Linked DNA regions of Lytechinus pictus. Each later gene encodes a partner of the first gene's protein in a complex. Links are inferred from orthologs where the notes say so. Each region holds a gene or a part of one and is shown in the gene's direction. Other genes may lie near its edges. The genes, in order: U5 small nuclear ribonucleoprotein 40 kDa protein-like, smad nuclear-interacting protein 1-like, cysteine-rich PDZ-binding protein-like and protein CWC15 homolog.

Region 1 (8,068 bases):
TCTAGCCCTTAATTGTAAGTTGAAAAAGAACGATAATGGATTTTCAGTACAAAGTGTTGTATAGATGAACAGAAATATGTGAACTGACTCCCATTCAGAGCTGCGTCTTTTCCCACAGGAATTCCACAAGTGTCTTCTCCTAAAGTTACCTTATAACACTGTCGTAAATTTATTTACCGGTACTGTTTTTGTTGTATAATTCAAAACCTTTCAAACTTTTTGCAAGAAAAATAGAGAAATTTGGGATACTTTCTCATTTCAATTCTGAAGTAGTTCCAATAGATTCTGATAGAACTGTATGTAAACATAGCTTTGCTCCTCACCATGGTGTAAACCAGTTCAGTTCCACATTTTACTCTTATTCATTTGTTTGTCACTTTATATGGTCCAAATTACAATCGTCATTTCTTGTAATTCATGTTTTTAAAAATTGAAATGTAAGTAGCCTTATTTATACAACTTCTTACCCTGCTTTGATGGAAAAAAAACAAGTGACAATGTGATATTTTTTTTCAATCACAAGTGAAAGTGCCCTCACTTCCGCAAAGATCAGTGGATCAGTATTACAATACATCCTTATTCCTAGCATGAATGTTTTGCATACTGTATATATCAAGGAAGAGAGCAACAAATTCACATGTTAAAACATATTTCAATGATATCATATGTCACTGTCACTTGAATCCTTATGTCAAAGTAAGGTAGTAAAAGTTGTAAAAAAAGGGGGGGGGGTATCCGGCAAAATGTATTTGTCACTGGCGTAAATCCTTGCGTCACACCTGTTGTTCAGGGGGGATGATCTATTGTTCCATCCCCCCCCCCCCCCGAAGAATAGGTGTGACTCACGGATTTACGCCAGTGGTATTTGTAATCATTCATGCATTTTGTTTTTATTGTTTTCAAAATTGTGAATGGCTTTCCATGAAAGACTTGTTGTTCAGAAAGTTTTGAGTTTATTGTTCATGTGGAATAAAGGATGTACATTTTGACTTATGAAAAATACACATTGTATGACAACTGACAAGAATTACAAGCAACTTTGGCCTGCCATCTTTTTGTTGTTGATGTATGACTCTGGATAGTAGGATGAGCTATGCTATCTATCTGACTTATTCATTCATTTTTTATATTTAGCCTTCATTCAGATCCAATTCTACCCATGCTCTCCTTTTCTTTCTCTCTCTTTCTCCAATTGCCCCCCTCTAACCCTCCATCTGCCCCCCTCCCTCTCACCCCCCTTCTTCTCCCCCCCCCCCCTTCTTCTCCCCCTTTCTTTCCTGCAGTTGGATGTTATTTGGTCACTCACCAAATATTGTTTGCGACCAATGGGCACCAACACAAAAAGGGCCCTTAATGGCATATGACACAAACTAAAATTGGTACCTTATATTTATCATAAACATACCCAAAATGGTGTTAATGCAGTAATCACACAGGTCAAGAATATTTAGTGGCATAAAAACCCTAGTTAATGAAGACAGAATTTGTAAGTTAGACCCTGGATGTCATAAATGGCACTTAATTGAAGCATCCCCATTTTAAAAGAGGAAATTTGACCCTGTTTATGTGTTTCTTTCTTCTCTTTTTTTTTGTTTGGGGGTGTTTGGAAATGCATTCGTAGCACAATGTGTAGTAGTATGTGCCCTTCTGATTTTGTGTGTTCTGTTGATTTGATTGATAAAGAAATTGATTGTGGAGTTATTGTCTGATTGGAATGGTCTGATTTGTTATTAAAAAAAATGTTATCCAATGTGAATTGTGTGTGGTTGTTAATATGTGTGCCAGGGCTACCCCATGTTTTTGTTCCATAAGGGGGGGGGGACAAGATGACCCATCTTTTTCTCAGTTGAAGTACAGCGTAACAGAAAATTAAATACCAATACCTTTTTTTATGATATTCTTTCTTCTCTCTTTGTATTCCTCTCTGTTTTTTTTTTTCAATTCCTCTTTTTTCACTACTTGTAAAACCATAGTAGTAAGGGGTGGTATTCTGAGATCCATTTTATCTCAGATAAAATAAAATATTTTATCTCCGTTAAAATCAGTGAGATAAAATACCCTTAAAATCTCTCCGAATTGGTATTCTGAGAACAATTTTATCTTCATTTTATCTCTGTAAGACACACCTATTTTTCAATCAATATCCAATCAGAAACGCGCTTTTATAGCTCTCTCATATCACTCAACCAATGGAAATCCATTCCGCTAGGAGGTGTGGCGAAGGAGTGAGATTGCGTCAATTTATTGACTTCAATACGCTTGCGCGTCTTTACAGAGATTTCTTTTTTTTAAACAAAAATGGCAATAATCTCATCTTTTTTTCGAAGTCTATATCGCATCTATTAAAGCATCATTTCAAAGACGATATTAGTCAAGAAAAGTCTTATGAAATGATTCCTGATTGTACAGGAATAACTTTATGGTGTTGTTCTCAATGAATATATCATTTTTCTTAATTTTCATGCCAACATTTGGAGTTAATTCACCTAGAAATATTGACGAAATCAACGTCGCGGAGATAAAATAGCACCTACCCTCTTTTAAGTTTATTTTATTTTTTCTTCAAAGTAACTTGGGCGCAAGCACATCATCCGCGTTGCAATGGCCAGATACGCAATGGGTATGTCTACGCAGCCACTGCTCTTTTGCATATCATCATAGATACGCAAGATAAAATTTATACGCAAGATAAAATTTTAAATTTTATCTGAGAGATAAAATGTCATCTCAGAATACCAATTTCATTTTAAGAGATAAAATAAAATATTTTAAAGATAAAATGACCTCAGAATGCCGCCCCTGGTCTGTTAGCGAAATTATGTGGACACGATGGACAAAAGCATGATTTTTTCTCCAGACCTTTGTTTATGTATAAGAAGTAAAAATGGGGTATGCTCCAAAAAATCTGGCTGCAGGAACAGTGAAAAAATGGGTGAAAATGTCAGAATTTATGAGTTTAGATTGGTCTGATATATAGACTAGCGCTAGTGCAAAACTCAATAGCAGTGCATTATTTTGCATAGGTTTAGTTCTTGAATTCAGACCCCTTTTGAACAGATTTTCTGTTTGTCCTCGCATCTCAATGCACCAAATATCTGAATGCAGATGCTAAACAAGCCGAAGGGTGGCGGTGGAGGGGGTTGAATGTTGGTGTGTATGTATATATTTTGGTCTTGGGGGTAAAGATGTGCAATACACATTTTTTGCATGTGTTGGAAATTGCGTTGCCATGGTAACAGTGTATTATGGCCCAAAATTAGGTAAAAATATTGCAGTTAGAACTTCTTCCTCTGTTTTCAGAAAGACTTTACAAATTGCTCATGTTAAAATTGTTCTTTGGAATGGGGTAGAGAGGAGATAGAACTTTGTGAACTTTACTGAAGAGAACTAGAGTGGTACCTTCAAGAAGGTATTTAGAAAAAGGCACAGAGTAAGGTAAGGTATCTAATAGTGCTCAACTAAGGAGGGAGGGGGGGGGGTGGCTGTGTGCTCCAATCTTAGTCTAGCCCCCCCCCCCCTCTTTATAAGCCATGTCATCTATAAAATTATCTTTCTTTCTTTCTCTCCCTCTCTCTCTTTCTCTCTCTCTTTCTATCTATTTATGTATCTCTTCCTTCTTACATCTGATAGGCAATAGCCCTAGGAAGATTTTGATATACTAGTAATAGGTCAAATGCAAATGTACTAAAGTAATATGTTCTCATTCTTTTATTGTTTCCTCATTCAATCTTATGTATATCTGGTAATTATATAATTGGGGCAGTTCTGGTATCCTGATATCTACACAAAATTTACATACACCTTTATATTACAAGGTGAACAGGGGCCTTTATATATTGTCATTGCATTCACTGTTGGGCTATATGCAGGTAGGATATGTAGACATCCATATAGTGAATATAACATATATGAGTAACACATTAAAATGGGTCATTGCATAGAAAATAGGCATTTTCAATGCATTTCTTTGTGCTAGCGTGAGTGTACAGATATAAAAGAATAGCAAAGTAGCTATTTAAAAAAATAAAATTCATAGGTCATATAATAAAGGTGCCATGAGCCTAATTACATTAGGAGGGCTAAAGATATTCGTTCGACCCAACCCATTCGAATTTTTTCAATTTAATATTGCTGATTGACAAAAGTGTATGAATATGATTCAAAATCTAACACTGTTTCTAGAAATGGTAACTACTGAGCTTCCTTTGCCCAAATTGGGAAGATATATCAATGATTTGGAATTATTTTTGACTGGCGGAAGAATTGGGGCTATTTTACTGTTTCAGTTGATGAATTTGATCCCATCATATAGTTATCTTCATAAATGGCGATTTATTTTTAAAATGAGCTGGCTACGATACCCTTCTCTGGTCAGATATGGAATGTCAGATATATATCCTATCCAAAGGTAGTAAACATTCGACCCTCTAATTTCACATTTATTTTTTATGAATTTTTCTGAAGTGCCATTTTAACACACAAGTCTATGGGGAATGTTTTACGCGCGTGACACCGTAAGATCGTATCTCTGTGAATGCCAACTACTATAGCGCCATCTTACAATGATATCTAGCCAGCTAACTTTGCACGGTGCATGGATCCAGTGAAGGCCCACCGTATTTTTTTTTAGTTTACATTTGCACATCTCGAAATCATGCCGGTGATGGACCACAAACGGAAAGCAGAGGAAGGTGCTTTAGTTGCAGTTAAAAGATCGAAGCATCATGAACTTGTGGCTGCAAGCAATCAACAAAATGCTCTCATGCAAGCGGTAAGAATTAACTTTACTCTTTAGTAAGCAAGAATAGACTACTCGACATTCTCACAATGACTATCATACGACTGTATTCCCAGTTATGCGATTTAGCTTCCGTGCCATGCGAACATTACAATCACGAAATCGTGATAGACTTCAGAGAAGAGGCGGTTTATACTAATTGCACGCACCGTTAACAGGGATGGCTTCCTATGTGGTAGACTCTGAAATGACTGGAGAGAAGAGTTTCTGAATGTTTGTCTATGCCCAGCTTTTAGCTTTTTTTGGTGACTTGAATACAAATAATGCTCCCTTAATTTGACATACGTGTGCAAAGAATCAACAGATGACGGTAAATTCATGAAATTCCTTGGCGCTAATGCAGTTTGAACTAGGCCTAGTTATGTGACAAAAAATAATAAAAAAATTATCTGATAGTGATATCAATAAATTTGGTGTCATTTGAAAACTCTTAAAAGGCCTTTCAAATGATACCAAGAACTCTAATTTTCATCAAGGAATTATAAAGTTATTTCAGTTTAAGTTGCGCATATTCATCTAAATGTGTGGCCGATGTCTTATTCTTAATGTAAAGTCAATGTAATACATAACCGATTTTTGTGACCTTTTGAACCCAAGTCTTCAACAGGCTCTAACTTCTTTGTTTTGGGGCCCTTTGGAGTAATTTTGGTATGAATGGAAAGGTGAAAGAACGCTCAATTGATGTGTAATCATGTCACTTTGTAATTTTTTTCTTAATATGTGTACAATAATTTCTTCTAATTAATTCAAATTAATTATTCCAATTATGCATTGTTTTTGCCAAATGATGGTGATCATGATAGATAATTTATGAAATTTAGTTGGCATCGAAACAGCATCATGTGGGAGATAATTTTCGGCAAGACTTCCCTAAAATTAAACAAAAAATATGGAGAAGGTTTGTCAAGAATTAAATATACTCACTTGTGTTAAAATGTATTTTATTGAAATATTTATACTTCTTGATTTGTAGGTTTTTTATGAAGATTGTGGTAAATAAAGTTTCAATTTCAATCTAACATATATCTAAGAGATTTAGGAAGGAAAAGTTGGATACATACCTGATACCAAAATGTGGCTTTATTCCGTCAAAATCTCGAGTGTGTGTAATTCCCAATGTCATCGGTTTATTTAGTCAGAAAAATAAATACCCAATACTCTTGGAGAGTAGACTAGTCGTAATATCGGTTGATAACCGACACACGATAACCGTTATGAAACCCATGGCTTTCAACAATTCCTGGTACATGTAGCTCAGTGAGTAAGGCGACAGACTGGAGATGCTTCGTTCTGCAGCGAGAGGTTCGAATCCAAGTTCCAAGCTAAAGTAAGAAGAAAAAAAGAAGATAAAGAGAATGAAAGAAGGGGGTTTTGGAGAAGTATTTTTTTTAATTAGTGGAGGGGACATAAAGAAATCTTTCCTAATTTTCTTAATGAAATTGTTTAAAGTATAGTTTTTGTAATTTCTAATGTATTTCTTTGTTTTTCAGGTATAAATTACAAGCCTTTTTTCAACTTCAGTATTGTATACATATATGTATGGGGTCTTTTTTGACATGAAAATTATCATTTTGTATTTTGTATGGTTTAAAAATAATGTACAAGTGTGCTATTTTCTAATGTATTTGATTGTTTCACCAATTCCTTCTCTTATGTATTTTATAGTTTCAACAATTTGTTATACATGTAGGCCTATAATAGCTTTTGATTTTAGAGACCCTGGGCATTTGATTACAATTTAATTAAGCTTTGATATATTTTATCAGTTTTCAATGCATTTCTTAGATTTGTATACATATTATGAAGGCCCTGTTTGAGCTCCCTTTTTTTTAAAAAGAAAAATGAATAAATTCAGATTCTAAAGTGAAATCACTGCATATAAATGTAGACATACTTCCATACTATTATGAAACAAAACAACAAAATTAGCAAGATTTTGTGGAAAAGAACTTCACAATCCAAACTTACCAATCTCTCCATTGATAAACTTGAAAGGCACCAAATTATTGGTTGAAGACAAAAGAAAAGGAAACGAGTGGTCTATATCTTTAAAAAAAAAACCTGAAAAAAAAACAGATATCAAAGCTCTAAACAACAACAAAAACAGACATCAAAGCTCCAAACAACACTAAAAACAAGAGAAACAAAAGTGACACAAAAACTTGTACAAATCCCATCCCCATTTTCCAGTTAGAGACACAACCCCCCCACCTGCAACCCTCATGCAAAAAAAGGAAAATTTAAAAAATAGGGGGGAAAAAAGATTGATAAAAAATACAGGACTAGACCCATGTGGAAATGAACAATTATTTCCTCTGAGTTTTCATGTATTTCCTTACAATCTTGAGTGAAAAAATCAAACAACATAATTTTTGCATTTTAATTTAAAAGTCAACATTCATGATAGGCCTATTCCCCTTTCAAAAGCAAATCCAGTCTCCAAATAATGAAACATGATTTAAAAGTTTCCATATATATTTTTTCTACAAAAGAAAAAAAATAAACACCATAGATTTTGCATTTTAATTTAAAAAAGTCAACATCAATGTTTCACTTTCAAAAGCAAATCCAGTTTCCAAATGATGAAACGTGATTGAACAATCAACCACCTTGAGTCACATTGGGAGGAAAATGTATTTTTGCGACAAAATGTATGTATTAAAATCAATATCAGAATAATAAATCTATGGTATAATGACAGAAATTTTCAGAAAAAAGCACAATATTATCAAGTAACAAACAATTCAAGATCCAATTCAATCCAGCATGAACAACTCACTATCCACCGCTCCCGTCACCCAGCCCACGGCATCGGGCAGCTTGACTGCCGAGAGACTGCCGAGAGACTCTTATATCTGGCCTGCGTGTTGATAGAATCAGCTCAAATTTTGATATTTTGCAGATCAATACTAACAGAAAGAGTTGGCGTCCTTGTTTGGAAACATATTTTACTTACCATTACAAATTTCGGTCATTTACGCATCCAAAAATTTGATGAACTTTCAAGCGGCGATAAAGCCGCGATATCCATATTGAAACTTACATGTACAGAAAGTGCACATCATCGACTGTCTAAAAAAAGGCATAAAATCGCAGGCCACAAGTTGCGCATGCACAGTAAACTCCATTTTCGAGGAGAGAGCCAGGACAGAAGCGATGCCACTTGCAGTGAAACTGTGCACGGCCTGTGCAGCCAAAACCAGCGCTCGCGATGCGGCGGCATTCGCACATACCTGCTGTTTCTCAAGTTTTGCTCCGGCCAACTTCGAG
Region 2 (8,070 bases), on another chromosome or scaffold:
TATGTAAATTAAAACATATTAAAAAAATACAGGGGGAACCTGATTTCGTGGGGGTGCTGCCTATGGAAAATAATACACGCAGCACCCCCATGAAAATTTCTGGGGGTGCTTCAGCACCCCCAGCACCCCCGCTTCCCAGGTCCATGTGACATCGCATGTTTCATTTCCTGTATCCACATCTTTTTTCATTCAATTTCTGTTTCAAAGATATTACCGCTATATGGAATGATTAATTGATCATTATATAATAAAGAAAGGAATTAAGGATATTCATAAGCCTGATTTATATCCCTTCCTCATATATCTATCTCCCCCTCTCTCCATCTCTCTCTCTCTCTATCTATCTATCTACAATGGGTATCAATACACTTTGAAAAAGTCCTGGGAATTGAAAAATATACAACATGGTGATAATTTGTTCACTTATATACTTGGGTTTGGGTCACATCTATCAAATAAAAGTAAACATTTTGACAGAATGTTACACTTGAGTGAATATACTGTCCATTGATTTTTGTTAAGCTTGCAGAAATCGGTTGCACAGAAATGCTCATTTTGACGCTATGTCAAGCACAAAGGGCGAAAGCAAACTAACCGTGTGGTAAGGTACATTTCTCATACATTTCCTTTGTATTTTTAGCGAATTGAAATAAAAACAGTACGCTCAACCTTTACTCCTTTCTTGTGCCAGCTGGATCTGAGGACACAACTGAATGTAAACAAAAGTTTATTTCAGACATCTACATGCCGCACTAAGTTTTTATCATTTAAAGTGGGACCACATTTCATTAATACTTGTTTATCCCCCGGGGTTTCTCCACACTTTTCCCAAGCTTGAAAATGATATTAAAGGTCAATTCCACCCCAGAAAAACGTTGATTTGAATCAATAGAGAAAAATCAAACTAGCATCACGCTGAAAATTTCATCAAAATCGGATGTAAAATAAGAAAGTTATGACATTTTAAAGTTTTGCTTATTTTTCACAAAACAGTTATATGCACAACTCAGTGACCTGCAAATGAGCCGTAAGATGTTATAAGAATGGTAATACCACATGTTCAGGTAGGAATAAAACTTCATTTCGCAGGACAATGAGGAGAAAATTAGAATAATTCATATTTCATATAATAAAATAAAAAAGAAATAGTGAGTGAGTGATGTCATCAGTTCTCTCATTTGCATACCGACCAGGATGTGCATATAACTGTTTTGTGAAATTAAGCGAAATTTAAAAATGTCATAACTTTCTTATTTTACATCCGATTTCGATGAAATTTTCGATGTTATGTTTGTTGGATTTTTCTTTTATTATTCAAATCAACTTTTTGCTGGGATGGACTTGTCCTTTAAGTGGTACTCACAGTTATATATCGTCATTTGCTTTAGGAGATCTGTACAAATGGTTACATGTGGAAAAAAGCTTCAGGATATTACAAATCTATAATTTTACAGCATTATTTCTAAATGTAAACTGTATACGCACTGTATATCTGGGGGCTGATTTTCAAGATTTCAACCAATATATAATATTTCAAGTATCTTATCAGATTTTCAAATATTCAAAGCGCCTAAACACTTTTATTAGACTATTCTTAAAAAAAGGTGCTGAAAACCATTATTCTTCATGATTTCAGATTTACATATTTTGTTCAAAGTGGTAGTCATTGTGTGATTCCATAAATTACTTGGGGAAAAATAAAAATAAAAACTAACTGGCAAAAAGTTATCTTATATTTCACAATATACAACTCCCAAGAATGTTTTGTAATCTGAAAACACTTTTTGCCAGTTAGTTTTTTTTTCAGGAATTTTCAAACTGAAAAACAATTTTTCATGAATAAGAAATCTGAGCTGATTTACCATTTTTATTTAACAAATTCATTTCATTTCAAATTTTCAACAAAACTATAAAAAAAAGTGCCGGAATTATGATACAGCATATATTAAAATGAAATGGGAACCTTCTGGAAAGCATATAGCTATAGTTCCCTCCGTTAAAATCACATTACAAATACAAAATAATCCCATGTATTCGTATTTTGTTTGGCACCCAGTTGATTGGGGTTTAAGGATTTAACCCCTCTCTTGGGCTGCCAAGTAAAAAAAAGTAATAATCTACATTTCGGATCAAACCCCTGATTAGCTTCATTTTATAGTGAACCTTTTTTTCTGGTAAAATGACCTTCTTTTTTAAAACCATCTTTTTTGGGGTGTAAAAAGTTCTCAGTACTCAAAGGACCTCCTTTTGGTAGTGAACCCCTTTTTTTGTCTTGCAAGAACATTTCTCGGTACCCAAATGACCTTCTATTGATAGTGAAACCATTAAAAAACCAACATTTTTTTTTTATTGCTTGCTTGTCAAATTTCTCGGTCAAAATCCCCTCCTTAGAAAAAAGCTAGATCTGCACCTGTCATCATATTGATCATAATCATCATCATCATCGTCGTCGTCGTCGCTTTATCATCATTATCTTCGTCTTCTTTCTTACATTATTCTTCTTCTTTCTCATTTTTTTTTCTTTTTTCTTCTCTTTCATCTATTTCCCCACGACTGAGATACTTTTTTTTTGTTTTGAATAATATTTTATTTTCTTCCTCTTTCAAATCAATAAGTTTACAATCACAATTCATATAAATAAAGATTCTTTGTATGTATACAATCAATAAACAATCAAACAAATAAATATATCAATATCAATGAGATTACGAATATTTTTAAAATGATTACAAATTAAATTAAACTGCCAAATTTCTCTTCTATAACAATGTGAAAGCAGAGGGGAAAAACCCGTATCAATCGACAAAAATAAAAAAAACGTACTTTGTAAAAAATGAATTTTTCCCTGAATAGAATAGAAATAATCTCTTTTGCACATATTAATTGTACGAAAAAAAAGAAAAAAAAAAGGATAAAATATTATTTTAAAGGTTAATTAGAGGAAGGTTATCCTAAAACGTCCCTACACACTCACCTTACCCCCATACCCCCATACCCCCTCCCCCCCTCATCTCTCTCCCCAGACACTCACACAAGCTCACTTCAAACCACCACTACTCACAGCTCCCCCCCCCCCTCTTCCCCGTCACAAAACTCACACATCCATCTACACACGTACACCCACACACAATGCATCCTGCTCTGGTACAATTATCTGTATTTGAACAAATAAACAAAACAGAAACAAAATGAAGCAACCAATACATCCATAGTATTAAGAAAGGTATGCATTGATTTGTTCCCATTTCCTTAAGTGCACCCCCAGCTTCCCCTTTTTAAACGCTATTTGATATTCCGTATCTCTATACTCTTTAACCAAATGTGTCACTTTCTGTACGGTTGGCAATATTCCCTGTTTTCTTGAACTAAAAATGATATACTTAATTAAGAATATAATACAGTTTATTAAAGCTACTCTTGTAGTATTTCCAGATATCCCCATGAAAATTGTTTTCCAAACGTCACTGCCAAGTTCATTCAGTTGAAATATTTTACTCATCTCTTCCCATAATCGCTTAACTTCAGGACAATAAAAAAATAAATGTTGGTAAGACTCAACTTCTTTTTTACAAAAGGAACATAAATTATCTGTCTCAAAACCGAATTTAAAAAGTTCCCTTTTTGTGTACACAGCCCCTTGTAATTGTTTGTATTGAAATTCTCTGTGTTTATTGCATAGCATTGCACATAATCAATTTGAAAATTTTCAATGAAGTGGTCATATATTCGTCTAGATTTTATATCACATAGTTTCTGAACATGCCCACATATCATCAATTGAATTTCAAAGTTGTCTGTATCCATTTCCATAAAATCATTTTGTATCCACTCTTCTGTTATTACTGAAAATATCTTTTGAATTTTGAGCAAGTTTTCAGATGAAAATTTCAGATTATACCAGTATGAAACTGGTCTTAATTTACCTCCAACTATTATATCCGAGACCTTAACTATACCTTTCTGAAATAATTCAATATAAAAAAGGTCTTATTATTAAGGCATAGACGCTTGTTATTAAAAATAATGGGATTACTTTTCCCTCCAAAATGTCTACACTTATCCAATTCGTGTCATGCCTTCAGCATATCTATGTAAAATAATGGTATACCTTTTAAATTCATTCTAATCGTATCATAATCACACAGAAATATGATTCGACCACCTAAAGAGCTAAAAAAATATTCGAAGGTTGCTTTCCAACCCGAACTTTTCCCTCCATCTAGCAAACGTTTAATCCACATTATTCGTTGGGTCTTAACAAAGACCTCAAAATTTGGAGCTCTCAGTCCTCCAACAGAATAGTCTTGATATAGAACCTTGCGTTTTATTCTATCTCTTCCTCCCCAAATAAAGTTAAAAGAAATACGGTCTTTTGATTTCTTTTATAGCGCCATCTTCCGTTGGGCATTAATGTAGTTTTTGCAGAATAGAGAAAAATGTCATCAAAGTCAGACTCAAGAAAACATCGAAGCCACGACGATTACGATAGACATCGTAGTCATAGACCAAGATCTCGCAGTAGAAGTCCGAAAACTAGTAACAGAGAAAAGGATGGTAAATCCCATCGCTCTGAAAAATCGGTACGTAGCGGAGCAACTTATTACAATTTCAGACCAAACAGATCCGGCTGCCGGCTGCGACACCTCGAATGGCACATGCACAAAAAATTAACCCGGCCCTAGCCCGAGGGCCGGGCGAGGCGCGAGGTCAGGGCAGCTGGCGGGCTGGTACGGTATGTATGGTGAAACTAATTTCAAAAGCCGAAGCAATACCTAACGTTATAGCCTATGCTATGGCTATGGATGGAAACTTCGACTGTTATTTCTTATTCGTCAATCATGTACACCGTTTTGCCCCTGTCATCATCTTCATCATTTATTAATCACTCACACTGACTATTGCGAGGTTAGTATAATTTAAACTATAAATGTATATTCTATACTAACTAGGCCTATAATATAGTATACGAACCTCGTCCTCGCACAACCATCATGTTTTTGTAGTGGATTTTAGAGTTGTCGTTAACATCGCTTCATAACGTGAATGATGTTAGCCGAAACCCATTCCGCTACTCACCAGGGCTTTTTATGGTATAAAGCGTTCCATTTTCAATTTTTAACATATTTTTTTAATTTAAAAGGATACAAAAAAGAGCAAAATCGCTTACCTCCGCCTGGAAAGTGGCTTCGCACGTCTCTTCCACGGAAATAATAAGGAGGTCGTTGGTGGCGCTAATACAGTTCACAACCTTAATTCAGCTGTGTGTTTTTTTTTAAACTAGATTCATGATTCATTGTATGCGCAATTCCAATAATTGTTTGATAAAATAGAGACCCCAATAAATGCAATAACTTAAAAAAAGTACTTTTTTATTATTTTTGCTGACGATAATACTTTTTGGAAAATATTCAAAACGATGACAAATTAAACAAAAAATATAGATAATTCTATGTACCTTGAACAAAGCCCCGCAAGTGCTACCGTTCGTTTGTCAATTAATGTTCCACCAAAGTCTTTACAGTAAAAAGATTGAACACTGCCGACTTCGCGTAACGCTTTGCATCGATTTACGTGTAAGATAATTTCTGTGTCTAGTCTTTCAATTGTAGTGTCTTTGATATGAAGATAAATCGCGCGCCCTCTTTCGCTCATTAGACGAAAAATTTGAGAGCTAGAAAGGTAGTGTAGGGTTGAAGAAAATTATATGTTTGGAGTTGAAAATAAATGAAGTTCTAAATCATCAAACTGAAGGGGAATGAAGCAGACGCAAAATGAAGAGAACTTAAACCGAAGGAGTCTGGTTGTACACTGTTTAATATCTGGGCTATTTTGCCTCAGCTTAACTTTGGATCACAGTATAATTTACATAAATATTTAAATTAGAAATAACCAATCAAACTAAAGAAAATGGAAGGATCGAACTAAAATGTAAGAACCCAATTCATAAGATAAACCAATAAGGAATGAGATGAGATGACAAAGATGTCTGGTGATTATGTAATAATGGAAGTAAAAACTAAGGAGTCAGGTGAGGGATGGAATGAGTGGAACACCTGAAGAGAGAATAGAGAAGGAATGAAGATGACAAGAGAAACACAGGAAAGGCATTCAGAGTAGAATGAATGAATGACAACTGAATATCATTAAACTCAAATAACCTTAGTCCAGACTGCAAGGGCAGTACTGAAAAGAAATGCAAATGAACTAAGATCTAGACAGAACAGAAATGTAAAACACCTTAAGAAAACACAAGTCAAAGGAAATAAACAAAGTAGGTAAATGACAAATTAACAATCCTACAGTAGCTTTCGTATTTTGTCAACGAGAAGTAAAATCAACGCTTAAATGACGCATTTTGAGGGATATTCATCAAATTATGAGGAATTGACTTCACATCGTTTCGTTAGTTTCGTAGGAGGACTTCATTCTGTAAGTCCTCGTATTAATTTTTCGTAAATTAACGTTATTTGTTGAATGCGCCGTGCCTTCAATTATTCTGTAGTCGGCGGCTGAGATGTAGCCGTGGGTGTTTATTAATCAGACATCAATCATTGTCGCCGTCGTCGCTTCATCATTTCATGATCATCATTATGATCTTCGTCTTCTTTCTCATTTCTTTTTTAATCTATTTCCCCACGACTGAGATTATAATGGGTCTTTTGATTTCTTTCAGACTCAAAGTCGCGAGTCGCATTCAAAATCAGACCTTTTCTTCGCTAGTTTCAACTTTAAATAGTGATAGACAAAAGCTAATCTCCTAAAGAGGGCTAACTTAGCTTTAGTCTACTCTAGATCCACTCACAAAAAGTCACATGTATTGCGAGGACAGTATTAGTATACTAACCTCGCACCATGAACCGCGTTTGGCAGTGGATTTCTAACTAGTGGGTCGCGCGTGCTGCGATCCCACTTCTGGTGTCCACAACACACGACTTCTATGGCTTGATTTTTCTGTGTGCAGCGGCATGTAATGAACCCTTGAGTGACTAGTTAGATCAGACTACGCTACTGGTTGAAAAACCAGGATTGTCCAGAAAGCTGCAAACGATAACGTCTAAATAGAGAAAATTCTAATGAACTAGGAGAAATCATGTCTTGATAAATTGAGATTGTCTTTGTTTATTATACAAACATTTTTGTCTCACCTGCATAGCAGAGTGAGACTATAGGCGCCGCTTTTCCGACGGCGGCGGCGTCAACACCAAATCTTAACCTGAGGTTAAGTTTTTTAAATGACAGCATAACTTAGAAAGTATATGGACCTAGTTCATGAAACTTGGCCATAAGGTTAATCAAGTATTACTGAACATCCTGCCTGAGTTTCATGTCACATGACCAAGGTCAAAGGTCATTTAGGGTCAATGAACTTAGACCATGTTGGGGGAATCAACATCAAAATCTTAACCTAAGGTTAAGTTTTTGAAATGTCATCATAACTTAGAAAATATATGGACCTAGTTCATGAAACTTATACATAAGGTTAATCAAGTATCACTGAACATCCTGCATGAGTTTCACATCACATGACCAAGGTCAAAGGTCATTTAGGGTCAATGAACTTTGGCCGAATTGGGGGTATCTGTTGAATTACCATCATAACTTTGAAAGTTTATGGATCTGATTCATGAAACTTGGACATAATAGTAATCAAGTATTACTGAACATACTGTGCGAGTTTCAGGTCACATGATCAAGGTCAAAGGTCATGTAAGGTCAAAGAACTTTGGCCACGTTGGGGGTATTTGTTGAATTGCCATCATATCTCTATAAGTGTATTGGTCTAGTTCATAAAACGTGGAAATAAGAGTAACCAAGTATCACTGAAGATCTTGTGCGAGTTATAGTAGTTTTCAAAATCAGCACTGCTGCTATATTGAATCGCGTGATGCAGGTGAGACGGCCAGAGGCATTCCACTTGTTTAAAATAACTTTCCCCTGTGGGACATAGCAATAAATACAGGAACTGATACTCTGAGATGAGAGTGCTAAAAATAGATTATAGCGCGTTTTCGCCCAGCGTCGTACGACGTAGAACGTAAGGGTCGTGTGCAAAAATCGCCAACTTCCATG
Region 3 (8,421 bases), on another chromosome or scaffold:
GGTGGGCTTCAGCCCCCCCCCTTTTCCAAAACTGTGTAAACAAAAAAAAAACGTTAAAATTACCATTCTGATTGTCACGGTGATTTTTTTGCAAGGTCACTTTTAATTCTAAACTGTTACGCGGCCCCCGGGCGCGAAATTATTTTTCCCACCGAGTTCTGGACCAACATATGAATATTCATGACTTGCGTCTTCGGATTAAGAGTACGCATGCGCGTGGACTCTGCATTCACGTTCAGTTGCTCAGAATGAATATTAGCATCGTCAAATTACCGGTACTCTTACATAGTTACATATGCCTTATATATATCCAATTCTTAAACACTTTTCAAACTAGCTGCCATTAATGGCAAGACATGTGCTAGGCTAGGGCTCGCTTAGGCTAGCGCATTAACTTTACCTCAAATCTGGACCTGTCTAATGCCTATGTACTAATCAGTGTTGTAGTGCCTTGGCCTTGAACATTCAAGCCTTGGCCTTGGCCTTGAGGATTTTGAGCCTTGAAATTTCAAGGCATTTTCAAGGCATTTTGTATTATGTACTTTCATTTGTTTTATAAGTAATTATAAATGTTTCAGTTTTTTTTAAAATATTTAATGACACTATAATGGTCAATACTACCAGTCACCAGTAACATTAGCAGCAGCAGCAGTAGTAAGTGTACTAGCAGTGTCATCGATTGTAATTGTCACCATTATCAAGAATTTTCAAACAAAGAATACATCAGTTATGAAAATTAGCATTATGTATTGGTAATGTGTTGTAATCATGACTAATGATGATAATGACAGTAAATAATAATGATCAAGATCAAGATAATAGTGCTTTGATGACAAGAATAAATTTGACATCTGACTGCAATTTTGACAAAAATGTTCGTACTTTAAACATAGCTAACTCTAAAGCACGATAACAAGGTTGATTTCTATTCCATTAGGATTTTCCTTGTATTATTTTCTTTGGCCAACAAGAATGTTTTAAGTCTTCATGATATTCTGAAAAGATTTGGTAAGCTTGAACACAGTCTTCAATTTTGTCATATCCAAATGGGTTATGTCAATGGCATGATGAGCCAGAAACTTTGAGGGGCCAAGCATGGCATATAGAGCAACATTTCTGTCCAAAAAAAAGAAGAAAGCGATTGAAGCGAGCGAGTGAACAAAATTTGTCCCCCTCTTTCTATAGGAAAAGCTAATTTTGCGATAGATTGTTTAAAAAATAATATCACATTTACTCCATCTTTTCCTTTCCCTTCCCCCCTTATCTAAGTGTATTCTTGGTGGTAGAACTTCTTCTTCTCTCTATCTCTTTTCTAAATTGTATATTTGTTTTGGGTCAGATTGACAAAACAAAGGGGGAAAATGTTTACTTCTTTTTAATCATATATCGTTCAACAGTGAATTTCATTTCTCTACAGTTTCAAGGAAATAAACAACGTATTTGTTTTTGTGTCAATATGGTTTCAAGAAATAATGATTAATAAAAAAATAGTAATTGAATAATTAATTATTATTAATATTATCAACAAGTATTAATGATGGCAAGACATGTCCTAGGCCGCATACATTCGTAATTCCGAAGCTTCGTTATTCCGAAGGTTCGGATATTCCGAAGGTTCGTTATTCCGAAGGTTCGTATTTCCGAAGGTTCGTAATTCCGAAGGTTCGTTAGTCCGAAAAAGAAATGAGGTTCGTAATTCCGAAGGTTCCTTAGTCCGAAAACGAAGTGAGGTTCGTAATTCCGAAGGTTCGTTAATCCGAAAACGAAATGAGATTCGTAATTCCGAAGGTTTGTTAGTCCGAAAACGAAATGATTAACGAACCTTATTTCGTTTTCGGATTAACGAACCTTCGGAACAACGAACCTTATTTCGTTTTTGGATTAACGAACCTTCGGTACATCGAACCTTATTTCGTTTTCGGATTATCGAACCTTCGGAATAACGAACCTTCGGAATAACGCCACAAATGTTCGGATTAATAAAGGCAATTTTCGTGTTTCGAAATTACGAACCTTCGGAATAAAGAACCTTCGGAATTACGAACCTTCGGAATTACGAAGTGTAACCGTGCTAGGCTAGGGCTAGCTTAGGCTAACGCATTAACTTTACCTCAAATCTGGACCTGTCTAATGCCTAATACTAATAGTAATAGCCGACTAATGCCATGGTTTAAAACTTCGAACCAAATTCCGAACTTTACGTTTGATTTTATTTAACATGGTTTAATATTTCTAGTCCGTATACAGAACCAGTCCTAGATCTAAAAAATATCTTAGTTCTAGTCTAGTCTCTAGATCTAGACTCTGATCTACGCTGTATCAGCATGGAACAACTAGTGTACCAAGGGGGGGGGGGCGCAGACTGCCCCCTGACAATTTACAACTGATCCAGGGGACGTGCCCTCCCCCCTTTGAGAAGCCAAATCAATAATTTGTAATGTCAAAATGCAACAGAAAAAGACTTATGTCCCCTCTTTTGAACGTGAAGATCTTTTTTTTTTTGCTTGTCAATTATTTTTCAGCTAAGAAATCCTTAATTTGGGGGGGAAGACGGGGATCAAGATCACTGACGTTAGTTTGTGCCTGACGTTATAATACGTTCCATGCAATGCAGTGGCGTAGCTAGGATTTTTTTTATGGGGGGGGGGGCACTGGGGGGTCCTTGCTTTTTCGGGGGGGGGGGGCCACCGGCCATTTTTTCCGGTGTGTGTGTATGTGTCACGAGGGCGGATCGGACTTTCGCCAATAGGGGACGGGGCCCGAAATTATTTCACCTATGTTTTCCCCGATCAGTCACTTCTTAGTTTTATTCTTATAAAACAACATAAACATGAAATAATCTCATAAGCCTTATAAAAAGTGTGAGCACAAAGCGCGAGCTCAAAAATTTGTGATATTCCAACCTGAAAACTGGACACTCTAAGCATTTTTTTTTGTGAACGGGAAGAGATCGAGTACAATAATTGATGCGAGTGCAGGAAGCCAGCCAAAAATTTGTGATATTCCAACCATTAAGCAACATTCTATACATTTTTGTTACCATGAGCAGGATTAGTACTGTACTAAACAATAATTGATGCAAGCACGATTCAAAATCTGTGATTTTCGAACCTAAAATGTATTATGTTTTATTATTAAAGAAGGTATATTTCTTTTTTAAAAAGGGCATATTTCATTTGGAAATAAAAATCCTACAGGGATTTTTTTTTTTGGGGGGGGGGGGGGCTAGAGAGCACAAAACGCAAGTTAAAATTTTTAAATGCTTAAACTGAAAATGAGTCATTTTTTAGGACTCTTGTCAGCTTTCTTTTTTTTTCTGCTTACAACCACTTTTAAATTTCAATTCTCATTTCTTGTATCTTCTACACTTATTTTACCTTAAAAAAACAGAATAAAGAATACTAACAAAATAAAGTTATATTCAAAAGGATATAAAGTAAACAGGGCGCACCCCATACCCTTAGTTGGGAGAGGGTAAATCTTAATTATTTCTTTAAACAGTTAATCAATCATTAATTATTAATACTTGTTGATAATATTAATAATAATTAATTATTCAATTACTTTTTTTTATTAATCATTATTTCTTGAAACCATATTGACACAAAAACAAATACGTTGTTTATTTCCTTGAAACTGTAGAGAAATGAAATTCACTGTTGAACGATATATGATTAAAAAGAAGTAAACATTTTCCCCCTTTGTTTTGTCAATCTGACCCAAAACAAATATACAATTTAGAAAAGAGAGAAGAAGAAGTTCCACCACCAAGAACACACTTAGATAAGGGGGGAAGGGAAAGGAAAAGATGGAGTAAATGTGATATTATTTTTTAAACAATCTATCGCAAAATTAGCTTTTCCTATAGAAAGAGGGGGACAAATTTTGTTCACTCGCTTGCTTCAATCGCTTTCTTCTTTTTTTTGGACAGAAATGTTGCTCTATATGCCATGCTTGGCCCCTCAAAGTTTCTGGCTCATCATGCCATTGACATAACCCATTTGGATATGACAAAATTGAAGACTGTGTTCAAGTTTACCAAATCTTTTCAGAATATCATGAAGACTTAAAACATTCTTGTTGGCCAAAGAAAATAATACAAGGAAAATCCTAATGGAATAGAAATCAACCTTGTTATCGTGCTTTAGAGTTAGCTATGTTTAAAGTACGAAAATTTTTGTCAAAATTGCAGTCAGATGTCAAATTTATTCTTGTCATCAAAGCACTATTATCTTGATCTTGACCATTATTATTTACTGTCATTATCATCATTAGTCATGATTACAACACATTACCAATACATAATGCTAATTTTCATAACTGATGTATTCTTTGTTTGAAAATTCTTGATAATGGTGACAATTACAATCGATGACACTGCTAGTACACTTACTACTGCTGCTGCTGCTAATGTTACTGGTGACTGGTAGTATTGACCATTATAGTGTCATTAAATATTTTAAAAAAAACTGAAACATTTATAATTACTTATAAAACAAATGAAAGTACATAATACAAAATGCCTTGAAAATGCCTTGAAATTTCAAGGCTCAAAATCCTCAAGGCCAAGGCCAAGGCTTGAATGTTCAAGGCCAAGGCACTACAACACTGATTAGTACTAGGCATTAGACAGGTCCAGATTTGAGGTAAAGTTAATGCGCTAGCCTAAGCGAGCCCTAGCCTAGCACATGTCTTGCCATTAATGGCAGCTAGTTTGAAAAGTGTTTAAGAATTGGATATATATAAGGCATATGTAACTATGTAAGAGTACCGGTAATTTGACGATGCTAATATTCATTCTGAGCAACTGAACGTGAATGCTTACGACCAGCACTGGTCGAGGCAGAGTCCACGCGCATGCGTACTCTTAATCCGAAGACGCAAGTCATGAATATTCATATGTTGGTCCAGAACTCGGTGGGAAAAATAATTTCGCCCCCCGGGCGCGGCCCCTGTGAATATTGTGTCTCGCTCGCTCACAAATTTTAAAATTTTAACACCCCAAAATCTACTGAGATATTGTTTGAAAATTAATTTGAAAAACACTCCAAGCAGCTTTTTCTAAAGTCTTTGTTTACAAGTACCATGGCATATTCGGTTGTATTCGAAAGAATACCACTGACTGGTCATCACTGGAGAAGACAAGCTCCTCGAGCGATTTGATGAAGTCCGCCCTCTAGCGATTTGAGCAGCACAAAATATCTGACAAAACAAATCGTCTTTCGCTCTTCCTGAATATTCGGCTTCTTGTCTTTCAATGAAGTTTTGATAGATTAAGATGGTGTGCGAGAAATGTAAGTAGACATGCCGATGATTTCGCATTTTATAAATTATATCTATAGTAGTGAAGTTTCATTGTTTAAAATTGAAACTCACTTTTTTGGCCTTTTTTGTAATGTATTTTTGGTTTTGGTTTAGGGCTTAAAGTTAAACACTACACAGTTTTCAATATGTGGGCAAGTGGAGTGATAGCGGATCCTTGACTTTGAGTTTGTTATTATTGTTGATATCAATGACTTGTAAGCTTCCTGTATTTCAAGCCTGTCTTTAAGGAGAAGTTAACCCTAACAAAAAGTTTATTTATAAAACTAGCAGAAAAAATAATGAAAAATATTGCTGAAGGTTTGAGAAAAATCCATGTCCAAAACACGAAGTACCGTCCATAGTCGTACTCGTAGACGTAGTGGTTTTCAGCAATCCTACAAGAAGCCACCGGGAGTTACACTTACAGGCTTGCGCCTTCATCCTGTACCAGATGATGATGATGATGATGATCAGTCTTGTAGTCGATTCACCATGGTCCGAGTCCGAGTCACCAAATTAAAATGTCATATTTTAATTTGTTTACTTTAAACCTTTTAAAATTACTTTAAAGTTTTAGTTTGACATCATACAATCAATCAAAAACAATCACTCACCCAATCAACAATTGTCAATTGATTCAAATCAACAAATACTTTATCAATTACAATTAAAGAGAAAAAATGACAAAGTAAAGGGAAAGCTGTTGACTTTGAGGTAAATAATAATTTATGTACAGTTATGAGTTAACTCTGCGTAAGTCGAAGTCGCATAAGTCGAATAATCAGAACATCCAGGACTCGTTTGCAAATATCAGTGCCTGCAAGAAATACAACATAATGTGTCTTTGATGCCACAGGGTCTTACCCATTTCAAGATTTTACAAAAGCATGAACAATTTGTTGCTCTTCATTCAAACATCATTACATCAATAGTACCATCTTTACAAATATGTTGTGTACAAAATTTGTAGAAAATGTATTACTCTAAACAAATGATACCAAATGTTCCTACTTTATTCAATATCATGTGTTAAATATCAATGAAAAAATTTGAAAACTTCAAGATGTAAGAATCTCAGAAACAAGGATTTTATATCTTAAAAAGAAAAAAAGAGAGAAAGAAACAGTTCAACTGAAGTGTGATTTATAGACTGCCGAGTTCGCCCTACGATACAGCCTAGTTACCCTTGCACTCGTATACACAATACATGCAGCTGCACAGTGCAATGCAATGATGTGCACAGCTTTTAGCGTTGAGGCAAATCATGGGCAAATCAACTTTATTATCAATCGTAGGATATACATTTTCCATGAAATATTATTGGAAAAATACTTCAAAATAGTGAATAATACTGACTATTAAATTCACCAGATTAGTATTAAATCTTCCTGCCTCGAGCCGAGTCATCGAGGCCGCATGCTACGAGGACGAGTCCGAGTCACGGCATTACGAGGCCAAGGCAGAGGACTGGCAAAGCCTGCCTCGAGACCTCCAAGACTGATGATGATGACACAAATTTGAAAAAAAGTCACTGAGTCTGAAAGTTCAATACTGTAGGGAGTGTAGAAGCTAGAGATCTAGACTATTACTTAGACCTTAGTATTTGAATTTTAATGATATGATTTGTGACGTCATATGCTAGCAGCTTTACTACAGTACACATTGTATGGAAAAAATCAATGAAATGAAATATAATTTTCTCAGAAAATTGAAAATGTTTTTTACGGTATGTTCAGTAGACAATAGACAAATTATTTCACTCCCAATTCCCGTTCCTAAAAATGAAATAAAAATAAGTGAGTCATCACAGACCATTATTTAAAAAAACTTGAAATTCATGCATTTTAATTTTTATATTACAAAACATATGGGACAGCTGTTCGTTTATGTCACAGATCCAAAACTTAAAATTCTAATAACTTTCTTAATCTTTCAAACCTTCACTGATATTTTTAATTATTTTTTTCTGCTATTTTTACAACAAACTTTCTTCCGGGTGAAATTCCCTTTTAAGTTTAACTTCAACTTTATTCTAAGTATAGCTCGGGTACCCCCTCCCGGCCTCCCCCAAGTACATCGAGGCCTATCACTGCACTTTTCCATTTCATAAATGTCCTAATACTGTCTGTATTGATGTGAATCATGGAAGGTATGAAAATGAATTTACAGTCAGTAGACTCGTATCTAGATCACTCATTCAATGAACAAGGTCTAGATTTACTCGATCATTTTGGTAGGGTGCCCAATGGTATATCTGCAATTTCCCCCTTTTTTTTCACATGATATGAAACCTGGTTCAAGCAAAGAATGGGCTGAAAATATTCAAGATGTAGATCTATTAATTGTATCTTTCTTTGTTTCTGATAATACACTAACTTAAGTAAATGTTTACCTACTTTCGTTTAACTACATGTAGTGTTCAACTTCAAGGAATCAAGTATTTTTTAAGAAAACATTGCAGAGAGAGAGAGAGAAAGGGTGCTAGATACAAAAACCAAGCCAAATTTTAATTCTAATGGTTGAAGAAAGACTTAATGGTCACTATACTTTTGTAAGGTTGGATTGTTGGATGATACACAAGTATAATTCACTTTATTGGCCCTTTAACTTTAAATGTTTCACCAAAGCCTTAGACAGGCTCTTAATAACCAAACTTGGCTTGCTTCAGAATTGTTGTAACTAGTTTTACCAAGGGCAGCTCATCATTGATGATGATCAGTCTTTTAGAATAATTGACAAAAGTGAGTGTATGATCACCTTCATCTAGGCTGCATTAATTATTTGCTTGTCAATTCCATTTTCTAACTATTTTTAGGTGAAAAGAAACTTGGGAAAGTAGTAACACCAGATCCATGGAAAAAAGGAGCAAGGAACACGACAGGCAAGTGGACTTTGTTTTGTTTTTTTCTTTTTAGCATACCAGTTTGTATGTAAAATTTTGCAGTGAAATTTTTTTGTAGTGACTATCTTTCGTGATTCTACCTTCTTTTTTAATGAAGAGTATTCACTGACGATATTATATATTATGTTGTATTTCATTTTCATTATGTAAAATATCAAATATTTTCATTTTTTATGAATTCAAGGATGAATTTCCTCACTGAATTGTAACAAAAT
Region 4 (8,419 bases), on another chromosome or scaffold:
AATTAAAGTTCTTGGTATCATTTTAAAGGTCTTTTTAAGAGCTTTCAAGTGATACCAAATTTATTCATATTTGATGATTTTCATTTTTTTTGTCACATACCTATAATACACTGCCATACATTACGCTATTTAGGGGTGCAAATTTGGGCAAATTTTAGGAGACAAGGGAGCAGACATAAGCCATAAACACCATGAAAGGCGATTTTAAGGGATACAAAATAGTCCTCCCACACGACGGCGCGGCCAGCGCAGCATGCATGTCTCAGGCTCAGCGGAGCCTCTTGGGTTACCTCGCCCACAGTTCCGGGGTACTTGCTGGATCATCACCGCTCTTCATCGATCAACCGACACGACAGTGACAGTCGAATATCATCAATATGAATATCACTCGGAATACAACCATTTAATCGGCGAATTATCAGGTACTCACCAAATTCTTCGGTCTATATTTGAAGTCTGAAAAATTACAGCCAAATAATAGCTGTGGTCAACATTGCTTTTGAGTTATTTGAGCTGTCAGGACTTATAATATTCCATAAACAATAATAAGTTCACGATCAAATTAGGCTGCCAAAATTATCGGTATCAGTGAACAGTAGAGGGCAACATTCAAATAACTCTTCCTTGCTTTTACAATAAAAATTAATGCAAAAAGGATATTATGGTGCTAATTGAAAGTTTCCGTTTTAAGAAAATTACTTTTATTCGGAAGACTTAGAGCATTAATATTCTCGTTATAGCTAGCTATTTGACATTTTTCTCATAATTTGTTGCACATGAAATGCGGCATGATCCTCCGGGACATCCTCTGGACTGGAATAGAGAATTAAAGGTTTATAATTCTAGGACTACATAACTCCGGGGACGGTGGTATATAGGCCTATAGGGGCAGATCTCAAATGCATCTATTGTTATTAAAAAAGGGACATTATTAAAAGGGAGTCCACCCAAAGTTGATTTAAACAACTGATACCGAAAAAAAAATCGATATCAAACAAGCTTGATGGTGAAAATCATTCATCAAAATCACTATTAATTTTTATTTTACATCCGATTTGATAAACTGCGTTATTATGCTTGTTTGATTTATTTTTTTCTCTATTTGGAAAGGTTTAAACATCTGTTGTACAATTATGTGGGGGGGGGGGGTTAAAACCTCCATTTCTCAACGCGGGAAGTTTTACAAATTTAAACTGTCGGCTAGATAATCGTCAAGCATATACCTGAAGTAAAGACCGGAAAACCTATACAGGAGAAGTCCTTCAAGGACGTGATGTGAAAGCAAAGTTAACAGCTCATCAGGGAACCAGCTGAAAGAGGGGATCGACAGCCCGCCTGCTCGATCCACCAGTTGATAATTTGGTCTTTGATTATAACAAAGATAGTATGGCCTTCTTCTGAATATTTTTTGAAATTTACTTTTTCCGCACGCCAATTAAGAGTTGTCTTAATTGGCATATATACTTTGCAGATGTTTTTGTCCTATAATTTCAAGTTTTACTCACCTTGGCAATTAATTAACTTTAGGAAAATCTGGTGAATATTTTCATCCATTTTCCCCGATAGGCCGCTATAAAAGCTTATTAGTTGTGGTAGTAGATAGTATTTTTTATTTTGAAGGGTTATATATTCCCAGGCAACAAAAGACCTAAGTTTTTTTAGTACATTTCCACATTATCATTATACAAACAAGGTGATGTAACCCCTAATTCAAAATGCGAGCGCAAAGCCGAGTTCCAATTTCGGATATTTCGTGAATAACATGAAAACATTAAGTTTTTGGACCATGAAGTAAAAAAATATGAGCACTGAATCGAGCTGAATTTTCATTATTATTTTATTTATGTATTTTTTTACTTCAAATTAATAGATCTGTAATGATCATGGCTTAATTCAATTTGCAGTAAGTCATGCAGAGGATCATTATCTCATTCTATTAAGGTTAGGGCAAAGCCGGAGCCAGTTTGAAACACGCTTAACATTTTAAGCACGTTTTTGTTTTGTTTTATTATTATTGTAAAAAAGAACAACTTACCGTCAGGGTACTTCAAAACACACTATGCGAGCACAAATCATGAACTGCTCTTAGAGAGGTGAGGGGGGGGGGGGGGGGGCAAGAGCAACAAATTTCCCGGACATGATTTATCATGGTCTGAACAGGATATTTTTTTTATGATTGTGCCCGAAGCGTATAATGATAAGTACAAAAAAAGAGCCAGGCGCGCCTGAGGCAAAAGCTACTAAATATACAAATACACAAATATAAGTCTCGAGCGAGCGAAGCGAGCTATAGCGAGAAAAAAACCCACCCTTTCATGAATCTAACTTTGATTTTGATTGATACCGCCCATGGTATTCAGAAAATAGCATCATAATTTATTTTAAATCTTCCTATCCTTTCCTTTCATCTTTTTTTTTTTCTCGGTTGCAGAACCTTTGGGGGCCAGTGCTGTGCGGATCAGAGTTTGGGGCAGTGTGGCATTGGTGGGGGGGGGGGGGGGCAACACGATTTTTTGCCTATATTTCACAAAATCGAGCGAGAAGCGTGAGCTGATTGTTTTCAATGCAGGCCCTGGCTTTAAAAGGGACTGTATATAGCTGTTTGCATTGGGTCATGAAGATGATATCTCACCAAATAAATAATGCAAGCGCGAAGCGCACGAGCTGATAATTTTTGGTATCCTGAGATGATAACTGGACGAAGCACTTTATAATATCATGAACTGAATGGCTATCTTACTAAACAATAATTTGATTTTGATTTATGAAAATTATGAATACGCAGGATGTGTATCATCTCAGTGCTAAAAAACTCTAGTCGCGAGGAGCATATTGACTTGAACACTGGACTTTTAAGCCCCATGTAAATGATCTCAGTCAACAGTTACTGAGATCAAGTAGCGCGAGCGAAAATTTTAATTTTATATACTTTTATGGCCTGAAAGATTTATGTTGACAATTGAGCTATATACAGTGAATGGATAAGAAAGTTTTTAAAATATAAAGAACGAAAAAGCTGTTTTGATCGAGCACTTTGCAGCTTTAGACAACATTCTACTTTTTTTTTTTTGGGGGGGGGAGCAAGTGGGGGGCCAACTCATTGAAGGCAAATACCCCCCCCCCCCGTGCCTCCCCCTTGGTCCGTCACTATGTCTGGGGCCGCCGCCGCGGCGGAACCTCGTTTGTTTGTTTGTTTGTTTTATTTCCGTCATAAAAAATACATAACAATATATAAACAAGAGATACAAGGAGTAACATACACATACATAATGAAATGAATTCTAAACATTGATTAAAAAAAAGAAAAGAAAAAAAAATGATTGATTGAAACATGTTAAGAAAGTTAAAAGATCAAACTTAAGACAGGAGACGGTTGGATAACCCATATTCAGCTGCACCAATTATATGTGCGGCTGGTCTTCCATGGGGACCAAGTAAAAAGAGAGTCATATAGGGAGCGGAAAATGAGAACAGAAAAGAAAAGACAAAAGAGGGAAATGAAGGAAGAAAGAAAAGGAAAGGAGAGAGAAAAAAAAAATCACTATCAGTTTGCTTACTCCTACCCCACTACCCCACCCCCCCAAAAAAAAGAAATCAATGTCTCAAATGTGACAACGCTGATCTAAAAGAATTTAAGGTCATACAATTACGAATATTATTTGGGATACTGTTAAACAACTTAGTCCCCCTATAGAAAAATGTGCGTTTGCAATAATTAGTTCTGGGTTTGGGGAGGCACAAATTATTTTTTCGAAAATGGTAAGGTCTTGAGGTGTAAAATATGTATTTTGTTAGATATTTGGGAGCCAAATCATGGAGGATCTTAAACATCATTGTTTGAATATGAAAGTTTTGCCTAGACTTCAGGGTTTGCCATTCCATTATTTCATGAATTGAGTCAATAGAAACATGTGACCGATTATTAATATTAAGGATAATTCTACCATGATGTTTTTAAACATTGCAGATGGCTACCTTTTTTATCAAATCGCGGGTATATACACATAAAAACACATAACTTCAACGCAGTTGCGGATAATATACTAAATATTTTGAGGCAGCACAGCATAGCAAATTTGGCCTTTTCAAATGATTTTGAAATGAAATTCTAATTATGTGATAGTAGCTTTGGAAATCTATAGCCAAATAGCAAACATTATGAGGCTTTTTTCGATACCCAGCATAAAGCTTTACTTAGGTTATAGGACATAGAGGGATTTAATAACTAGCCCTTAGTATTATTTTTTTTGTCCTGATTGCGACCATATTGCATTAAATTTAGCATGCTCATATAGACGCCATCCACCTTTCTTCCCGTTCTCAATATTTTTCTATTCTCGGCAGCCCGGTCGTTTTATTAAATTCTTTTCTTTCTTTTATCTTGTTCATTTTCTTCATATTCTGATTTTCCAATTTAGCCATTTTGGGTCTACCTTCATTTCCCGTTTATTTTTGTCTCTTTCTCCCATTTTCCCGCCATTCTTGCCCGTATCATTGAGTCATATCTTAAATTTTTATTTTATATCCCTCTCTTGCTAATCATGCTAATATATTAGTATTTCAGGATATTTTGAACTTTCTTTTCACCTTCCTTTTCCCGCTTTCCTTCCATTTTCCCTATTTATGTTCTTTCTCCCTGTCCCTTAGTCTTTTCACCTGGCCGTTTCCCTTTCCCTTAGTTTCCCCCTTTCCTCTTTTTTTCTTCCTTTCCCTTTCCCCTTTCACTCCTTCTCCCTTTTCTCTTTTTCCCGGTGAAATATTCTCCTTTTTCTTAAAGTACAGAACAATTTGGCTTTTGAAAAAAAAGTCTTATAACAACTTTTCATTTTAGATGATGGTTAATCTAAGTATGTATATTTTGCATTAATATTATTGATTTTTTTATGCATTGATAGTTGTACATATATCTCCCTCTTTTTTAGCGGCTCTTATATTTGAGTCCTATTTGCCCTCCACTCGTGCCAGGTGGCATCACAGTTTCTTGTTCTTATAATCAATGCCTGTAACTATTATGCTTACTTTTTTTTAACGATCGATGCATGCTTAATTGTTGTTTTACATGTTACCCGTAATTAGTGGTTGAAATGCGATCACTGTAAGTGTAAAGCGCAACATTGATAACATATTTTTTATTTGTAAAATTTTTTTTATTGTAAATAAAATTTACTTTGAAAAGTAAAAAAAATGTCTTCTAGCTTTCTTCTTCTTGTGATATCCACGGTATTTCCGTTTTGTCGAAATTTGTACTTCACATTTTTACCTGTAGATGGCGCCAATCGCGACTCGATTATAGCCAGACTTGCGAAATTGCGTTTTTGTTTAGTTTGGGTAAGTGGAGTTTCACAACTAAATTATAGATTTAATTATTCTTTATGCTTCTCGTTTCATAGATTCATAACCCTCTCTACATGTATGAATGCATTACCTCCCACATATGTTCCCGCAATTGTACAGAAATATAACACCTGCATTACCTTGGCTTGATCCATTTAATGACTCCCTGCTTGGTATCAGATCACGAAAAAAAATCATTTACAGTCCCATACATTGAAATTGGTGTCATGTCACCTACCGTATGTCTGCCAAACAATTCATAAAAAGTGTGAGAGAAATATGTGATTTTCTTGGAAAAAACCTTGGCCAGTCATTTCTTTTTAAATTTCAGTTTGACTTGAAGTTAACTGAAGTACAAAACAAATGCCTGCGTGCGCGCACTGCACCCAATGTCATAGACAGGAATAACCGTCGTTTCTGGGGATTTATTCAACAATTTCTGACATTTTACTGTAATCCCCATTTACCCATTTATGTATGGTGAGTGGAGCCAACGTAGTTCAGCGGAACAACCAAAATACAGAGACTGAAGCTTTTGGTCTACCAATGTCAATGATCCATTCACTTTATGTTTACACACGATTCAGGGATTTTGACGAGAAAGGCTGCATTTTTAGGTCGTCACATGAAATGCCTGAAATTTGTTACTCTTATACAATTTTAGTCCGATTTAAAAAAAAATTATGATTAGATTCTATCTGTCTAAATATGTATTGCATGTCACATGTGTACAAGTTTTGGTAAGGTAAGATAATTGTATCAGATGGAGGTTCAAATGCCATGAATTAGGTTGGTATCACATTTTACTTATTTGGAGACCTTTTTCTTTGCTTGCAACTTTTTTGTAACCGCCCCTTGTAGCATGTAAGTTTGCTGTTTTCAAAGTGCCTAAAGAATTTGAAGACATTTTATTTTTTAAAACTTTCTGAAAATGTTTTGTGTTTACTTGGTTAATCTCTGCTTCTAGTGTAACCAGATTACATGTTTTCTCTGATATCAAATTCAGTAGTCGACGAAGGAAGGATAGATAGCCGAAGATGACAACAGCAGCACGACCAACGTTCAACCCAGCAAAGGGAGGCAGTGGGAAAGGAGAAGGGGATTTGAGTGCTCTATCCAAGCAGTATTCCAGTCGTGATCTCCCAGGGCATACAAAGTTGAAATACAGGTAAAGCCAAGAGAATGAAAGTTTTAGATTTGCGTCCACCGCCCGCATGCTCCAAAACCACCCGCACGAAAATTTCATTATTAAAAAAAAAAATCATTTACTTACTCACGAAATTACGAAATTACAATTTCCAAATCATCGCAGGGCAGTAAATACGCACTTACTACGTGCATACGGTATAGCACTGCAGCGCACCTTCGATCTTCGCACAGCAAGCTAGCTGTGGCAAATTGTCCATAGACTGTGTACAACGGATAGACTGTCTCGGCTAAGCGAATCGGAGATCGCTGATTGGCCAATCGCGCAGAACACGTCATGACTACGTGGTCGCCAAAATAATTCCTTCGGACTGCGTGCGAAAGTATCGAAAGCGATAACGATATCCGGTCACATGGTCTTCGCGGGAAATGGTCTTGGTTCGTGATCGGATCGCTCCAGTATCGATCAAAAATTATTGAAACTCAGTAATTTCATGCATATTCACGCGACGCTCCCAAACCCGGAAATCAATTGACTTTGTACACGTTGCGATAGACTCTACAAACTCCAACGAACCCGATGCCATATCGACGCTAATTCGTAAGATTTTGACCGAAAAGCAAGAAGTAATCGAAATTCACTTACCTGTGCGGTATCGGTGAGAAAATAGATCTTCCGAGAATACCTTTCATAATTCATATAAAATATAGGAAAGTGAAATTCTAGGTCGATTTTGGTACGAGGTGATAGAGAATTGCACACTTGTTTTGGTGGAATACTGTGTGGGGCTATGGAAGGCTTGCAATGCAATGCGCATGCTTACTATATTTTCATTCATAAATTGGCTCTCGGCATGCAGTGGCTGGGATGACGTCATGTAATAAGCAAAATGTACACGGCCGCTAGCGCTAGATAATGAATAATAAGCCTCATGCCATTTGAAAAATTTTCGGATGCAAATCTAATACCTTACTTCTCATGGCCTAAGTGTCTGTACACTGTATCGAGTTAGATATGAGTGTATTTTCTAAAATTTGGCATGAAGGTTGAGTATGGTATAGCGAAGAAGCCTATCGATTTTGGTGTGGGCGGAGACATCGTTGCCATGGAAACAAGTTTTTTTGGAAATAGCAGAGATGTCCTTGTGAGCGCTCTACCAGCTGCATTTCTTCTCCGATCATCTTCAAATGTAGCATGAAGGTTGAGTGTGGTAAAGCAAAGCCGCATATTGATTTTGGTGTGGGCAGATACATCGTTGCCATGGTAACAAGTTTTTGTGGAAATAGCAGAGATGTCCTTGTGAGCGCTCTATCAGCTGCATTTCTTCTCCGATCATCTTCAAATGTAGCATGAAGGTTGAGTGTGGTATCGCGAAGCCGCCTATCGATTTTGGTGTGGGCAGAGACATCGTTGCCATGGTAACAAGTTTTTGTGGAAATAGCAGAGATGTCCTTGTAAGCGCTCTAACAGCTGCATTTCTTCTCCGATCATCTTCAGATGTGGCATGAAGGTCCATTATCGTAAAGCAAAGTCGCCTATTGATTTTGGTGTGGGCGAAGACATCATTGCCATGGTAACGAGTTTTTTGTGGAAATAGCAGCTATTTCCATGTGAGTGCTCTATTGGCTGCATTTCTTCTCCAATTATCTTCTGATTTGTCATGAAGGTCCATTATGGTAAAGCAAAGCCGCCTAATGATTTTGGAGTGGGTGGAGACTTGGTTGCCATGGTAACCATATTTTTGTGGAAAATAACAGTTGGCACTCAGAAGCAATATTAGAAGGTGAAGCGAAGATGCCTATCATTTTGGGGGGTCTTAGGGTTAGGTTTATAAAATATTTCCAGATTACTCTATAATTGTATTCCCCAACACATGATACTGGACAATATTTTAGGTTCTGCAGAGTCATGCTGCTACGTCATATTATTGTCATCAAA

What was found.
Region 2: U5 small nuclear ribonucleoprotein 40 kDa protein-like (region 1) and smad nuclear-interacting protein 1-like share a complex: the UniProt entries of both Homo sapiens proteins name them as parts of the minor spliceosome. The link is inferred for Lytechinus pictus from reciprocal best matches to the Homo sapiens genes SNRNP40 and SNIP1.
Region 3: U5 small nuclear ribonucleoprotein 40 kDa protein-like (region 1) and cysteine-rich PDZ-binding protein-like share a complex: the UniProt entries of both Homo sapiens proteins name them as parts of the minor spliceosome. The link is inferred for Lytechinus pictus from reciprocal best matches to the Homo sapiens genes SNRNP40 and CRIPT.
Region 4: U5 small nuclear ribonucleoprotein 40 kDa protein-like (region 1) and protein CWC15 homolog share a complex: the UniProt entries of both Homo sapiens proteins name them as parts of the minor spliceosome. The link is inferred for Lytechinus pictus from reciprocal best matches to the Homo sapiens genes SNRNP40 and CWC15.

The regions. Positions count from the first base shown.
Region 1 is NC_087245.1:8,205,807-8,213,874, forward strand, and holds the start of U5 small nuclear ribonucleoprotein 40 kDa protein-like, read left to right. Parts: upstream 1-4,279; 5' UTR 4,280-4,654; coding exon 4,655-4,771; intron 4,772-8,068. UniProt on the Homo sapiens protein: Required for pre-mRNA splicing as component of the activated spliceosome. Component of the U5 small nuclear ribonucleoprotein (snRNP) complex and the U4/U6-U5 tri-snRNP complex, building blocks of the spliceosome.
Region 2 is NC_087248.1:10,825,828-10,833,897, forward strand, and holds the start of smad nuclear-interacting protein 1-like, read left to right. Parts: upstream 1-4,391; 5' UTR 4,392-4,436; coding exon 4,437-4,580; intron 4,581-8,070. UniProt on the Homo sapiens protein: Required for pre-mRNA splicing as component of the spliceosome. As a component of the minor spliceosome, involved in the splicing of U12-type introns in pre-mRNAs. Down-regulates NF-kappa-B signaling by competing with RELA for CREBBP/EP300 binding.
Region 3 is NC_087251.1:29,280,332-29,288,752, forward strand, and holds the start of cysteine-rich PDZ-binding protein-like, read left to right. Parts: upstream 1-4,909; 5' UTR 4,910-5,278; coding exon 5,279-5,294; intron 5,295-8,119; coding exon 8,120-8,185; intron 8,186-8,421. UniProt on the Homo sapiens protein: As a component of the minor spliceosome, involved in the splicing of U12-type introns in pre-mRNAs. Involved in the cytoskeletal anchoring of DLG4 in excitatory synapses.
Region 4 is NC_087260.1:19,048,662-19,057,080, forward strand, and holds the start of protein CWC15 homolog, read left to right. Parts: upstream 1-4,983; 5' UTR 4,984-5,095; intron 5,096-5,240; exon of another isoform or gene 5,241-5,328; intron 5,329-6,340; 5' UTR 6,341-6,371; coding exon 6,372-6,502; intron 6,503-8,419. UniProt on the Homo sapiens protein: Involved in pre-mRNA splicing as component of the spliceosome. Component of the PRP19-CDC5L complex that forms an integral part of the spliceosome and is required for activating pre-mRNA splicing.